Stegostoma tigrinum: one gene and its partner. The protein of the gene in region 2 interacts with the protein of the main gene of each other region in a pairwise test. Links are inferred from orthologs where the notes say so. Each region holds a gene or a part of one and is shown on either strand. Other genes may lie near its edges.

What was found. The genes of interacting proteins can lie anywhere in the genome.
Region 1: the proteins of pomp (region 2) and psmb8a interact in a two-hybrid assay, tested with the Homo sapiens proteins (2 studies listed by BioGRID). The link is inferred for Stegostoma tigrinum from reciprocal best matches to the Homo sapiens genes POMP and PSMB8.

What each region holds. Positions count from the first base shown.
Region 1 is NC_081387.1:1,253,896-1,261,953, forward strand, and holds the start of psmb8a (proteasome subunit beta type-8), read right to left. Parts: upstream 3,096-8,058; 5' UTR 2,967-3,095; coding exon 2,823-2,966; intron 1-2,822. UniProt on the Homo sapiens protein: The proteasome is a multicatalytic proteinase complex which is characterized by its ability to cleave peptides with Arg, Phe, Tyr, Leu, and Glu adjacent to the leaving group at neutral or slightly basic pH.
Region 2 is NC_081359.1:79,199,298-79,206,801, forward strand, and holds the start of pomp (proteasome maturation protein), read left to right. Parts: upstream 1-4,471; 5' UTR 4,472-4,573; coding exon 4,574-4,576; intron 4,577-5,784; coding exon 5,785-5,885; intron 5,886-7,504. UniProt on the Homo sapiens protein: Molecular chaperone essential for the assembly of standard proteasomes and immunoproteasomes. Degraded after completion of proteasome maturation. Mediates the association of 20S preproteasome with the endoplasmic reticulum.

The DNA.
Region 1 (8,058 bases), on a different chromosome or scaffold from region 2:
TAGGTGTTACCAACCATGTTGGCTTTCCCCTGATTAATTGAAAATTTTCAATGTGCTCTGTTATCCCATCCTTGATTGTAGCCTCTAACAATTTCTACGCCACAGATGTTAGTTTAATGCATCTGACAATCCCTGCCTTTCCTCTTCATTCTTCTTAAAAAACAGACTGCTGTGTGCAGTTTTCCAATGCAGGGAACAACTGGAGATTTGTGAAAGACTATACAGCTAGGGTGTCTTCATTGTGCTTCCCTGCTTCCTTTCACCCCCTCAATGAAAACTGTCAGCACTTGGCGATTTGCCACTTTTGAATTGCATTAATTTCTTCATTATTGCTGTTTTACTTACATTATTTTTTTTCAGTCTCCGTTCCTGATCCACTATACATTTCCTTATACTGTCAAACTACCCTTTTCTACTGTAAATACTTAGATAAAGTAATTATTCCAAATGTTAGCCATTTCCCCATGGTCATTGATAATTATCTCCAATTTCAGTTCTTAATGGGTCAACATCACTTCTGACCACCCACCTGCCTTTTATGTAACAATGACATTTCTTCTTTTAGATGTTTCTGGCAAATCTCCTTTCATAATCCCTTTCACCAGCTTTATAAGCTGCTTTATGGCCCTTTGCTGGTTTTTGTATCTTTTTCATTCAGCAGGATCTGTGCTGCTATTTGTATTTTTATGCTATCTCTTATCTGTTTAATTGTCAAAGGCTTTTTTTTTGTGTTTTCAGAAAATTCTGAACAAGGGCCCAGACCCGAAACGTCAGCTTTCCTGCTCCTCTGATGCTGCTTGGCCTGCTGTGTTCATCCACCTCCACACCTTGTTATCATCAAGACAACTCTTGACTTTTCTATGCGATTGACTAATTTCTGTGTTTGTGTGATCTAACACTTCAGAGCTGCTCCCAGGTGGTTCTCTGCACCACATTTGTTAGTTTTAGATACTTTACTGTCCCTCAGTTTTATCCGTGCAATCTCCATTGAAAGCCTTCCCCTCATTATACCCTTCCTCACCATTGAAGTAATTTTGTTTCTAATCAGTAAGGCTATTTCATTCCTTCTGCTATTCTCCTTATCAGTTCTGAAAATCTAGTATCCAAGTGTATTAGTATATTTAGTTCTTAATCCTGATCATCCTGCAGCCATGCCTCAGTAATGGTTACTCTAAAAACTTTTCACTTTCCTTTATTTTTCATTTTGGACTGAAATGGGAAAAATTACTGTTTTAAAAGCCAAGGATAGCTGAAGGAATGTTACTCTTTAAAAGGAGGCAACTTGACACTGACTGTGTGTTCAGGCACTGCAGATAAGATTTGTAGAAGAAGACTGAATGGAGAATTAACCAGCAACAAGTGGCTGATTGGTCTATGTGCTAGTGACTGGTTAACGATGGCAAAGGCTGGCCAACAACAATGCGATTGGTTTCCAGCAATTCGAACAGATTGTGGGCATAAATATTTGAGTCAAATGCCATTGGATCTCCGCAAGAACAGGAGTGTGTAGATTTACAGAATCCCTACAATGCAAAAAGAGACTATTTGGCCTATCCGGTCTGCACCAGTCGCCTAAAGAGTATGCCATTCCACTTGGTTCCAGTAACTGCACATTTCCCATGGCCTATCCACTTAACCTGTATGGTGAGAGGAAACCGGAGCACCGAGAGAAAACCCACACAGAAACAGGGAGAGTGTGCAAACTCCACACAGACAGTAACCTGAGGTTGGAATTGAGCCCAGATCCCTTGTGCTGTGAGGCAGCAGTGCTAACCACTGAGCCACTGTGCCACCAAACAACCTCCCTTCTCTGCAATAAAAATTGCCTCAAGTCTGAAGCAAATCCATTTCTGTTTCCCACAACAGTTACTCTAAGCTGTGGCTGTTGACCTGCAAGTCAGAGTCTCTCTCTAAGTGTGAGCCAGTCACTCTCTACCTTCTACAAATAAATGTGAATACCCAGAGAGGGAGATCAGCAAGTGTTGAGAAGCCATAAGGACCATCTCAGTGACCCCTGTGGACAGGGACTATTGAACTGCTTTCCCAGTCATTCACTCTGCCCTGTGACGCCCTTTTCTTTCTGTATGGGAGAGTTTATTAGGGGGTTACTCATACAGCTGTATGTTGGTGGTTCATAATGTTTATCATAGATTGTGGGGTTATTAGCTTAACATTTGCTGGGTTAGCCAAATGGAAGTTTAATCTAGTTGAATGAACTGAAAAACCTATGGAGCCTGGCAGTGACCTCATGATTCAAAACGTTTCTGTTTTTAAGTGCTTCTATGTTAGGCTGAGATTAAAATATTGTAACTCAGCAGTAATGAAATGAACTATTGCAATAACTCTGGAAAAGGTGAAGATTTTGATCAGAAATAACCACCTGGAGAATTTATCAGTGAAATCGGTGATTGTCCTGGGCCAGGTCATGGAACCCGCAAGCAGGTACAGTTAGCGACCCTGAGAGGGAGTTATTCCAGTCAACATCCGCACGCTCTTAACATCTGCAGCAGGATAGTGACGACTGTCAACCTGAAGTCTGTCATGAGTGATGGTCACCACATGAACTGGACTGACTCTTCCTCCCTCTCACGTACTGCCACCCTATCTCTCTCTCTTTCACACACACACACACATTCCTCTCTCCTGCAGTCCTGGAGCTCTGTTAGACGCTTTCCCAGCCATTGTACTCCAGTCTGCCTGACCCCACTTGCCCCGTATATCTCTGATCGTTTTCTTCAGGGATTTGTGACCGAAACCGGGACCTCACTGAACAAACCGGAACCGACAGAGACAGGGTCAGGAATCAACCTGCAGTTACTCACATCCAGACCAACCGGTACCGCCAGCTGCCCGTCCCTGGCCCAGAGACCAAGCTGCTGCCCTGGGCTGAGAAGCAGGCTGCTCTGTCCGAGAGGGAGATCGCTCCGACTCCAGTCCCGAACGCCGCACACCTCCATCAGCGCCATCTCCACGCCTCACTTCCTCAGCTCCAGCTCCGAAAGTGCAACCGAAAGTAACTGCAGATCCGAAACAGCGCCAGCACCACCCAGAATGGGTCACAACGGATCACACCGGGACGGGGTCTGGGGGAGGGGGTGGGATTGGTGTTGGTAACAGCGGGACAGGGTTCACGGCAGGTCAAGGGGGTGGTCACAGATCACACTGGCACAGAAGATCACAGAACAGGTGGATCACATGCGATCTCACCAGGACAGAGGATCAGACAGGGACAGCGAATCACAGCGGTACAGGACTGGGGTGGTGGTCACAGAGGATCCCACTGGCACGGGAGATAACAGAGACCTCAGTGGGTCAGGACGAATCACAGAGGATCACAGCGATCATGGCAGCCAGTGGTTCACGACAGATTGCATTGGGACAGCAGGTCACACAGGAACAGAGGGATCACAACAGATCACACCAGGACAGGAGGGTCACAGCTGGATGGGGATCACAGAGGATCATATAGGAATAGAGGATCACAGCAGGACTGGGAGCTCAGAATAGATCACAGGGACAGGCGATCACAGCAGATCACTAGTTCACAGCAGATCATATCAGGACATGTCATACTAGGTCACACCAGAGCAGTGACTGAAGCTAGATTACACCAGCACAAAGAGACTAACACTGGAACAACGGGGGACAGAGGGATCACGTCAGGTCATGGCAGGATCATGCTGGAATAGGGGCATCTTTCTGGAAACATGCGGATAGCACAGATCACATTGGATAAGGGATCACACCAGGACAAAGGAATCAAATTGGGATGGGGTGGGGGTGGTGAATGAGGAGGGTCAGATTGGGTTTAGGGGATCCTGTTGGGATTGGGGGAGAGTGAGGGTGTCAGATTGGGATTGGAGGAATAAAGGGGTCTGATTGTGATTGGGGGAATGAAGGGGTCAGATTGGGAATGGGGGAGTGAGGGGTTCACATTTGGGTTGGAGGGAACTAGGGGACAGGATTTGAGGGAATGAAGAGTCAGATTGGGATTCGGAGGGAATGAGGGGGTCAGATTGGGATTGGGGAAATGAGGGGGTGGGATTTGAGGGAATGAGGGGTGAGATTGGGATGGGGAGAATGAGGGATTCAGAATGGGTGTGAGGGGAATTAAGGAGTCAGACTGGGATAGTTGGGGGTGGGTAGAGTGAGAGGGTCATGGAGGTCTGAGAGGGTCTGAATGTGATGATTTTATGATAGTTTTCACTGCCAGTAGCTTTGGCTCCAATTTCCCTCAGCACTGAATATTCGACCTGGAATTCTGGGCACATTCCCCTCGCCCTTCCCAAACAGTCCTGGATTAAACTAATGCAGCCCAATGATCAAAAATCAGGAAAATGATTCCCAAATGTCCTATTGCTTTCAAATAGAAGGAATTGTCTAACATCAAACACTGAGCAGTCTCTGTTTTTAAATAAGAGTGATGCACTAAAACCCAATGAGAAGTCAGTGCTTGTGCTGCATCAGTAATCTCTGGGGAAAGTCTCACCCTGCAGGTTCCTTTCAGTTCAGAATCATGGAGATGTACAGTATGTCCAGCCAGGCACTCAAGGCAGTTTACAAAGATTGCATAAACATCCAGGCACCCAGCTTTGGTAAACAATAGTATGATTGCATAATAAGTTCAAATTTCACAAAAAATAATGTTCATAGTTTTATCATATTGACCTGATTTCCATCAAGTGTATGTTCTTATTGTTCAGTGCATTTCTTACAAATACTCCTGGAGAACGTCAGTTAGAACATTTAAAAAACATTTGGACAGGTGCACAAACATAGCCAATGCAGCACAGGAACAGTTTGTACGGGAATATCTAGGGATATACTCAAGTTTATTAAAATAAGACGTGATTGATTCCAGCCTCATTAATGAAAGGATGTTGTCCCATTAGGTGAACAGCACCAATTAGAACAAGGGGTGTAAATCTTAGTCCATGAACTAGTCAGCCCAACTCATCTAGCAGCTATGAAAACAACAGCTAAAGTTATTTTGTAGGAATTAGTTGTTTCTTTATTATTCACAATATTAAGAAATAGGTTCCAGTTAAAGATTCTTCAGATAGTTATAGGGATAGGTTTCAATGTAAGTACAGATACACGTATAACCAAAATACAATAGAAGCATTAGGGGAAAAACATTTAAACCTTGATGTGAAAGTTAATTAGTCTTGGGAACCACTTTCCTTGTCTCTAAAAATGTGCTTGGCACGTCCTGAGCGAAATAGATTGTTTGCGACTTATAAGTTAAAAGGTGCTAACAGTAGAAGTGGTTATAAATCTTCATGTGTAACTAACTGTAAAATAGAAATTAACACTATGACTCTTAAGGCAGTTAGTTAGAAAACCAACTGTCTTTTTTTATACATATTTGGCTCAGTAGAAAATATGGAAGGAATAACAGAACTTGATAGAAATAGCACATGGATTACAATGAATAACAGAATTCAAGCAGCCCTTAGAGATAAGCAAGCCTGGGACAGGTCTGAAGGATTATAACCAGGAATTTTGGAGTGTGAATTAATAGGTTGCATAGAAAGATTCCAAGGTCTGGCGACTACAATGTCTGTTAACACCATGAAATCATGGAAACACAGGGCTGTTCATAGAAGAGCCCATCATTGACTCAGTGGATCATAGGATTGAATGTATAGAATAAGGGAACGTGTCCATGCTGTATGTGATTATTGTAACACAAAATGTATAAAAATGTCATCTTTCACTGCAAGAATCAGAGTGTGCCATTGATCTCTCTTCCAATCTGAGCCATAGATTAAGGGAAAAATTGGGTTCTCGCATCGAGGCCAGATTCAGGGAAGATCTTTGGCCCTCTCCCAGCATTAACTGTTTGTTGCATGAATAAAGTCTGTCACTGCCTGAATCCTGCCTGCCTGCTGAGTCTTTGTCCCTGGTCTGCGGGGGGGGGGGGGGGGGCGTGGAAATATGCTCCTTTAGTCCCCTTCCCCCAGCACTAGGTATCAGAGTAGCCCACAAACCAACAACCACCCTGCAACAGCTACTGACAAATGTAAAGGATCCTATACCCACAAGCAATAACAATAACATAATTTACAAATACCATGCAAGGACTGTAAGATACCTACATAGGCCAAACTGGAAGAAAATTACAATATGGATACATGGACACCAACTAGCCACCAAGTGACATGACCAATTCTCACTGGTCTCAATACGCACGGATAATGGAGGACACAAATGTGACTGGAACAACACATCCATAATCGCATAATCCACACAGAGACATGCTAGGGAATTCCTGGCATTCCAACTGTAACTCCATCGACAAACATATTGAATTAGACCCTGTGTACAAACCAGTGAAAAACAGAACAAGAAGAAATACCAACCACCCCAACAAACTGAGAAATATAAATAACAAGCAGGACAGAGCATCAATGCTTCACTAGAGGAGGACAGACAATGTTACCTAGCAGGGTGACAAAACTTTTGCAACCAAATACATCAGCTCGGTGAGCATGTCTGCAACCTCATCCACAAATGAGTCACAAGTGTTCTTGAAAACTTTAACCTCGTGATTGTCCCTGAGAGTGCACGATCTAGCCCCAGCTCTCCTCATTCCCCGAATTGGTTTCTCTCTAGGCTGCCCTAAAAAGCTGAGTGTGTCAGGGTGAATGTGCACTGCTCACACTGAGGGGAGGGATGGTGACTGTGTGTGTGATGGTGAGTGTGAGGTGCTGACCCTGTGAGGGAGGTCAGAGGCAGGGGAATGAGGCTCCCACAGCTGCTTGGAGATGAGGAGTGACAGTGCCTGGAGTGGGGCCAGGGGTTGTTTACTGATTGAGAGTTGTGTTACTGTCTGCAAGCTAAACCTGTTTGAATTGGAAACCTGCTTGGGCAAAGGGACAAAATGGGTGCCAGAGAGTAGGGCTTGGCAATGTTGGGAGTCAGTGCAGAGGGCTGCAGAATGCCTGTTTGAAAGACAAGGAGTTGGGGAGGAACACCTTTCAGGTGCAAATTCTGCTGTCCCCTTCAGATTGCAGTGTGGGCTCTTCTGCTGCTTTGGACTTTACTCCTGCCACATTCCCTTTGGCATTACATCAATAATGCTTCACCGCGCAGATCTCTGCCCTCTTTCTCCTTCATGCATGCAAACAATGAGTCTTGGCCAGCAAGTTGACAGCAGTAGCATCACCAGACAAGCCTGATCTTGCGCCCCCGCCCCAAGCACCTCACACCGCTGTCTTACAGTGAGGTAAACTGGACCACAAAACCAGATTCTGGGAGCTGTCCCATCCTGAGATTGGGACACATAGAGTTACAAAGAGATCATCAGAAAGAGGAGGCCACACAGCTCTTCAAGCTTGCCCTATCTTTCTGTAACATCATGCTGATCGTACCCATGTTGTGTAAGAACAACAAGGAGCTGTTTAAACAGGAAGGGGCTCCCACTGAACGTGGATTTGGGGAGGAATTATTTCTCCCAGATGCATATCACAAACAAACTGTGGCTGGGATCATATTTTTAGGCTTTAAATTGTCAGAAACCCTCTGAGAGTGAGGGGCATGGTGGGGTAATCTATGAGAGTTGGGTGTGATCTGTGAGAGTTGGGAGAATGAACTGTGAGTTGGGGGGGTGATCTGTGAGAGTTGGGAAGTGACCTGTGAGAGTTGGGGGTGATCTGTATGAGTTGGGGGGATGATCTGTGTGAGTTGGGGAGGTGATCTATGAGAGTTGGGGGGTGATCTGTGAGATTTGGAGGGAGTGGTCTACGAGTTGGGCGGTGTGGTCTGTGAGTTTGGGGAGGTGATCTGTGAGAGTTGGGAGTTTGATATGTGAGAGTTGGGCAGTGTGGTCTGTGAGAGTTGGAGGCTTGTGTTCTGTAAGGCTTATGGGATGATTTGTGAGAGTTGGGTGTGTGATCTGTGAGAGTTGGGGGGTGATCTGTGCGGGTTGTGGAAAATGATCTATGAGAGTTGGGGTGATGATCTGTATGATTTTGGGGGATGATCTGTGCAAGTTGGGGAGGTGATCTGTGAGAGTTGGGGGGTGATCTGTGAGAGTTGGGGGTGATCTGTGAG
Region 2 (7,504 bases):
TGGAGACATGAGTTCAAATCACACCACGGGAAATGTGAAGTTTGAGTTCAATTAAAAAAAGTCTGAAATAGAAAGCTAAGTAACCACAGTCAATTGTCATTAAAAAAAAATCTAGTCAACTATTCAGGGAAAGATATATGTTATCCTTATCTGGTCTGGCCGATTTGAATTCCAGACCTATAGCAATATGGCCACCTCTTTAAATGACATCTGAAATGGTCCTTGGAATGCACTCAGATCAAGGGGCAATTAAGGATGTTTGATTTGCCAGGAATGAATTAAAAACACAATTGGAACTGCTGAGCTACATCAAACCTTTCAGACTCTTTCCTAGGATAATAGCAGAGGATTTGAATGTTTATTTTAATCAAGGAAACTTCATCTTTGTTCTTCCTCCTCTCACATAAAATTGGTAATCCCTTCTGAATTCTCAAAGAAATGGTTCTGTATGCTTTTTAGGAAATGAGTGTTATCTTTTTTGCTTCCTGGTGAACTTCAGAAAGTCTGATTCTAACGGACGTGTTATTTGTCACTCCATTATCGGAAGGAAATCATTGTCTTCAAAATGGTACATAGCCAGACACACAAAAATTCCTGGTTATCAGGAATTTAAGGAAAAATAGTTACATATTTTCAGTTAGAAAATTGAGTAATTTTCTTGACATTTTCAACAGTATTCAGAGAATTCACCAATCTAATAAAGATATTTAAATTAATTAAACAACTTCTGACACCAAGCCACCTGAGGAGATATTAAGCCAGCTGACCAAAAGGTTGGCCAAAGAAGTAGGTTTTAAGGAGTGTCTTTGTGGTCAAAAAAAGTTTTTATTTGTGGGGTGGTGGAATCTCAGATCATAACACCTTGGCAGTGATGGGAATGGAAATCACTGGTGGAGCGACTTAAATCAGGAATGCCAAAGAGGTCAGAATTGAAGGTGTGTAGACATCTTGGAAGATTTTGGCTTTTCATTCATGAATCAAATGGGATTTTTACCCCTGGCAATTGACAATAATTTTGTGGTTATCATTAAACTCTTAATTTTTGTCATTTATTGAATTCAAATTCTATCATCTGCCATGGCGGGATTCAACCATTATCTGGGTGTCTGAATTAACAGTCTAGTGAGAATATCACTAGGCCATCATCTATTTCCCATGTTAGAAATGTTTCAGAGATAGGGAGTGGCCAGTTCACAGTGAGATTAGAAAACAGAATGATTTTAAAATTCAAGTTCTGCTTTATCAATGGATTACTCGTTCAGGAACATTATCACGAAGTCATCATCATTCTGCTAGTTGTCAGGTTTGCACCACATAACACACAATGTTACAAAAGATTGTCACTTGTAACAGTCAAATAAATTTAATTTCAATATTCTTGTCATTTTTACACCTTTTTAATATAGATTCGATTTATGCTTTGTGTCATCAGATTGCTTCTACTCACTGAGATTGGTATGTTAAGTCCATGGATGTTGCTGTATTTGAGATTTCTGCAAGTGCGCTAGTTTGGGGAAAGCAAATTTTATTTTTCCATTTCTCAGTGCTGATGCACTCCCCACAACATTAACAAAATGTATTTCAATAGCCACAAAATTGTCTGGCAGCCAATAAAATGCAGTATTAACGTATATTTTTCTTTTGCATTTTCTTACCATTATGTGTCCTTAACCATCTGTCCAGAGTTTTCATGCTTATTTTGAGTAGCTTATTATAAAATGCAATATATAATAGAATCCACATCAGATTTTTTTGCCCCTGGTATCGTCCAGAGATGTCTTTAGCTGTTTATAGAGTCATAGAGCCATACAGCATGGAAACAGGCCCTTCAGTCTAACCATTTCATGCCAAACACGGTCCCAAACTAAACTAGTCCCACTCGCCTGCTTCTGGCATGTATCCCTCCAAACCTTTCCTATTCATGTACTTACCCAAATGTCTTTTAAATGTTGTAATTTTACCCACATCCACCACTACCTTAGGAAATTCATTAGGCGTGCAAGCCACCCTGTGTAAAAAAAAAGCCTCATGTCTTTTACAAAATAACTCCCCTCTCACTTTAAAAATGTTACCTCTACCCTTGAAATTCGCCCATCCTAGGGAAAAGACAGCTACCACTAACCCTATTTACGTCTTTCATTAATTTCGAAACACTTATCAGGTCACCTTTCAATCTCCTATGCGCCAGTGAAAAAAAGTCCCAACCCTACCAGCCTTTCTTTACATCTCAAACCTTCCATACCCAGGAATATCCTGGCAAATCTCTTCTTAGCCCTCTCCAGCTTGATAAATATCCTTCCCATAACCGGGTAACTAGAACTGAACACAATATTCCAGAAGAAACCTCACAATCGCCAGGTACAATATCAAATTGACTTCCCAACTCCTACACTCAAAGGACTGACCAATGAAGGCAAGCGTGCCAACGCCTTTTTAACCATCCTGTCATTATGTGGCAGAATTCACAGAATTACATACCTGCACCCCTAGGTTCCCATGTTCTACAACACTACCCAAGGCTTTACCATTAATTGTATAAGTCCTACCCTTGTATGTTGTACCAAAATGTGATACCTCACATTCATCCAGATTGAACGCCACCTGCCATTTTTCAGCCCATTGACCTATTTCATCACAATCCCTCTGTAATCTTGGAAAACCTTCTTCACGGTCTACTGTGCCACCGATTTTGGTGTTTTCCGCAAACGTACTAACCATGCCTTCTACATTCTCATCCAAATCATTTATAGTACATTTCTAACAGACTTTAACCTGCAAACAGTCTACTCCAATTAACTTTTGAAATTTCTCGTCTCATACCATTAAAATTTGCTTTATTCCAATTAAAACTTTAACTTTTATGGAAACTTATCCTGTTCCATAAACATTTTGAAACGAATAGAATAATGATCACTCAACTCAAAAGTATTCCCCCACTTTTACGTCAGTCACCTACCCTGCCTTATTGCCCAAATGGTCTAGTTTTGCTCCTTCTCTAGTAAGAGCATCCACATATTGAGAGAATTTTTTCTTGAAGACTTTTGATAAATTCTTCACCATCCAAACCTTTTAACACTATGGTAATCCCAGTGAATGTTTGGAAAGTTAAAATCCCCATTATTACTACCATAGTATGATTACATATATCTGAATTCTCCCTACATATTTGTTTCTCCATTTCCCTCTTCCTAGTAGGGGGTCAAAAGTACAATCCCATTAAAGTGTTCTTTCCTTTCTTATTTGTAATCTGAACCCACATATTTTCACTGGGTGATTTTTCAGAAATGTTTTTCCTAATTACAGCAGTAACGTATTCCCTCATCAGAAATGCTGCCGCATCCCCTCCCTCCCTTTCTTTCCACCTTTTCTATCCATCCCATGGCACCTAATACTCAGAAAACTGAGTTGCCAGTCTTGGCCATCTCTCAGCCCAATTTCTGTAACAGCTGTAATTTCCCAAACACACGTTCTTAAAACATACTCTGAATTCATGAGCTTTACCTGTAAAACCCCGTGCAATGAATTAAATGCAATTTAGTTCTTCAGATTTACCACATTCTCTGACTCTCTCGTCTTTCTTTCTTAATTGACGTGCTTTCCTCACATTCAGGACCTTCCCTATCAATCCTTCTGTTTACACTGTTATTGAGAATTCCAACATTCCCCCTCTCTGTAAGTATAAGGTCTTCCATAATGGAATGAGCAAACCTCCTGTTAAGACATTGGTCCTCTTTCCAGTTTGGGTTAGGCCCATCTGTTTTGATCAAGACTTTTCTATTCCAAAAGATGTTTCAATTGTCCAAAAATCTGAAGGGTCAGAAACTGTTGTTATGAAAATACAAATAAATCTTTTGCCTTTCATAATATTCAGGAGTGGTTCTGTCTTTGAACTTCTCTACATCTGCATCTCTTCTCCCTTTAAAAACCTTTTACTTTCCAATTTTCTCACTCTTGTGATTCAGTGTACTTTTCTTGTTTACTTCCTTTGAAGTGCCTTTAAATACAACTTTAATGAAGTTAACAGTGCTATAGAAAACAACTCATTAATTTAAATTGGTCACTATGTTTGAACAAAACCGCTGGGTTCTCTCTTTCTTGACCAGGCTGACATTTTATTTTGATCAGAGATGGAAGAGAAATATTTGACCCTTTACTCCTTACTGTGTTGCTGCTTGGTATTTGCATTTGACAGGAAAAGCCGTGCACCTCCAGATAATTTCCCTCAAAAATCAAGATGCTACCTAATCTTGAGATGTATTGATGAAGAGTCAATGAAGCCTTCGAAACATTCATTCTGCTTTCTTCATACAGATGTTGCCAGGGCTACTGAGTTTCACCAACAATTTCTATTTCAGATCTAGTATCCACAGTTCTTTGTTTGTGTTCAGTTCAGAGATTACACAACTCTTGAAGAAATGGGACATACACCCAAAGGAACTTAACCAGAATTGCTCTCATTCCTCCCCTCCCACCTGGACACAGCCGCAGGAAGTGACGACATCCCAATCAGGTCACGTGGCCGGAAGTTGTTGCGGAGCAGAGACGGAGGGTGATAATCGGGCTCTGAGCGGAGATGGTGAGGGGCTACGTTAGAGGCAGAGGGATATGGAGAGGTTTTTTTTTACCGGGGATGGTTTTACCTTACCGTGCTCTGCTCTGTGGCTGTAATACTGGGGCACACGGGGCTGACTGATGCCGGTTTACATTCTGATGAGTCACCCGCTCTGGGCCTGCTCTCACAGAGCCAGGCCGGGGAGAAGGTAGTCTCCCGGCAGCGAGCCGGCGGGAATTCCCATCAGACGATATCATTCACTTCACCCTTCCTCATTCTCCTCCTCTAGTGGTGCCCCTGGAGCTCTCTCCCTAATAAAGCGGTTTATTAAAGTGTCGCGGGTAGCGCTTCATTGTGTGTTGTTTCACTTCCCGTTGGCTTCAGCAGACCTGTTCTCTTACCTCGTGTGTTCCGTGGGGTGGGGTATTTCGCGTGTGTGCAACACATTTCATGCTGTCGAGGTACTGTATAGTCCGTTAAGTACTTTTGACTGCTGTCTGTGTACTTTGCACATTCTCCTCGCGTCTGCGTAGGCTTCCTCTCCAGAGGCGAAAGATATGCCGTTTAGGTTGATTGGCCATGCTAAACTGCCCATAGCGCCCAGGGATGTCCAGGTTAAATGGTTTAGCTGTGGAGACTGCAGGTGTACAGGGATGGTTTAGGGAGGTGAGTCTGGGTCGCATGCTGTTTGGACAGGTCGGACTAGATGAGTCAAATGGCCTGCTTCCACACTGTAGGGATTCCATGGGTTGAGATAGTCATTGTCAGTCTGGTCAGAATCTTTCATGATCTAGTGCATGTTACATCCTAAGAGTAGAAGCATCAATGGATGGAATTTTGTGCCAAGTAAGGAGTGCTACAGGCTTCACTTACTATGTTAGGTGCCATATTCCAGTTGTTTATAATTCAGGCATAATACATTTGCAGCTTTGGATCTTTATTGTATTCCTTCACTGGGTCAAGATCTTGGAAGTCTCTTCCTAATAGCAATGCTTCTATCTGCAGCACATGGACTCCAGCAGTCCAAGAAGGCTGCTCACCTTTACCATCGCAACTTGGAATGTGTAAGAAATGCTGATCCAGCCAACAATGCTTGCATCTTGTGCATAAAAATATAAATAAAGGAGTGCTCCATCTGAAGACTGAACAGTGGCCTATGTCGCATAATAATTCACTCTTCTGATTATATGCTCTATTACATTTTTGACATTTGTAATATTGTTTTTTTACAGTATTCCAGAGGACTTAAATCTCAGTTGAAGGACAGTGTTCCTGTTGGTGGACTGGCTTCTAATGCAGGACCCTATGGTGTGCATGATACGTTGCGCCGGGGGTAAGTGCAATATAGCTTTTGTAGATATTGATTGCTAAAATTAGTGCTGAATAATGCTGAATTTACTTGCTTGTAGTATGACAGTCATGTGTTTGGAAACAACTGAATTAGTGGTAAAATAATCCAGTTGTTAAATCTTTAGATTGCATTTGTCTAGATAGTTCTTTTCCGTTTGACACCGTTACAGCACAATTTGTTCTTGATCTTTGCCATTGTATTCAGTTTTAGTCATCTGTGGACAAACAGTTTCTCTAGGTTGAACGTAGAGTTGATTAGCCAGAACTGATTCATGCATTAGTTTATATTGTTGTTACGAAGTGTCTAAATTGATGAATGCACTTTTCAGCGAATGCTGTTCGAGCTGAAGCACTTTCTTTACTCTGCAGTCCCAAACCAGTCTCAAATGCAAGTTATTTATCCTTTGGAGCTGCATTGTTTTGATGCTTTCTTTCCCAACAATAAGTGTCACACTTCAAAAGAGTATTGTCTTATAAAGCATGAGAAAAATTGAAATATGTTCAGGTGTATAACATTTATGACGGTATTGTCATTATTATGGGTCTATCATGATTAGTCTGTGTGATAATCCCAATTGATGCTAATACTGGACAAGTCAATAGCTGAGTGAAACCTGTCATGATAGACTTAAATTTTGTTTTTGTAATTTGTGGTCAGCCACTGAATATATCCTCATGAGGCTGCCAATCAACTGTGAGGAAGAATGTAAGTTTGACACACAAGGAAAAATGCAAAATTATGACAAATAGTCCAAAGAAAGATTCAGAGATAGTGAGAACTGCAGATGCTGGAGTCAGAGATAAAACTGGAGCTGGGGAAACATAGGCCAAGCAGCATCAGAGGATAGGAAAGTTGATCATTTTGGGTTGGGACCTTTTGGAAATGGGGAGGGGGAAGGGAGCTCAGAAATAAATAGAGAGGAGGGGTGGAGCTGGGGAAGGTAGGTGGGATGGAGATAGGTGAGTGCAGGTAGGGAGTGGTGGGGATTGGTCAGCGAGGTGGAAGGGCAAATAGGTGGGAGAGATGGGCAGGTTGTCAGGTCAAGGAGATGGGATGAGAGGGAGAGTTGGTCATGAGATGAGGTCAGGGTGGGGGATTTTCAAACTGGTGAAATCCATGTTTAGGCCATTGGGCAGTAGGCTCCTGAGGTGGAATATGAGGTGCAGCTCCTCCAGTTTGCGGGTGCCGTCACTGTGACACTGGAGGAGGCCAGGATTAACATTTGGGCAGCACAGTGGCTCAGTGGTTAGCACTGCAGCCTCACTGCACCAGGGACCCGGGTTTGATTCCAGCCTCAGGTGACTGTGTAAAGTTTGCACATTCTCTCTGTGTCTGTGTAGGTTTCCTCAGGGTGCTCCGGTTTCCTCCCACAGTCCAAAGATATGCAGGCGAGGTGATTTGGCCATACTAACTTGCCCGTAATGTTCAGGGATGTGTAGATGGATTGGGGGGATGGTGGTTGTAGGTGGGATAGGTCTGTGTGGGATGCTCTGAGGATCAGTGTGGACTTGTTGGCCCAAAGGTCCTGTTTCCACACTGTAGGGATTCTATGATGATACCCAGAGTGAGAGGGGGAGTTAAAATGGTTCGCGACTGGAAGG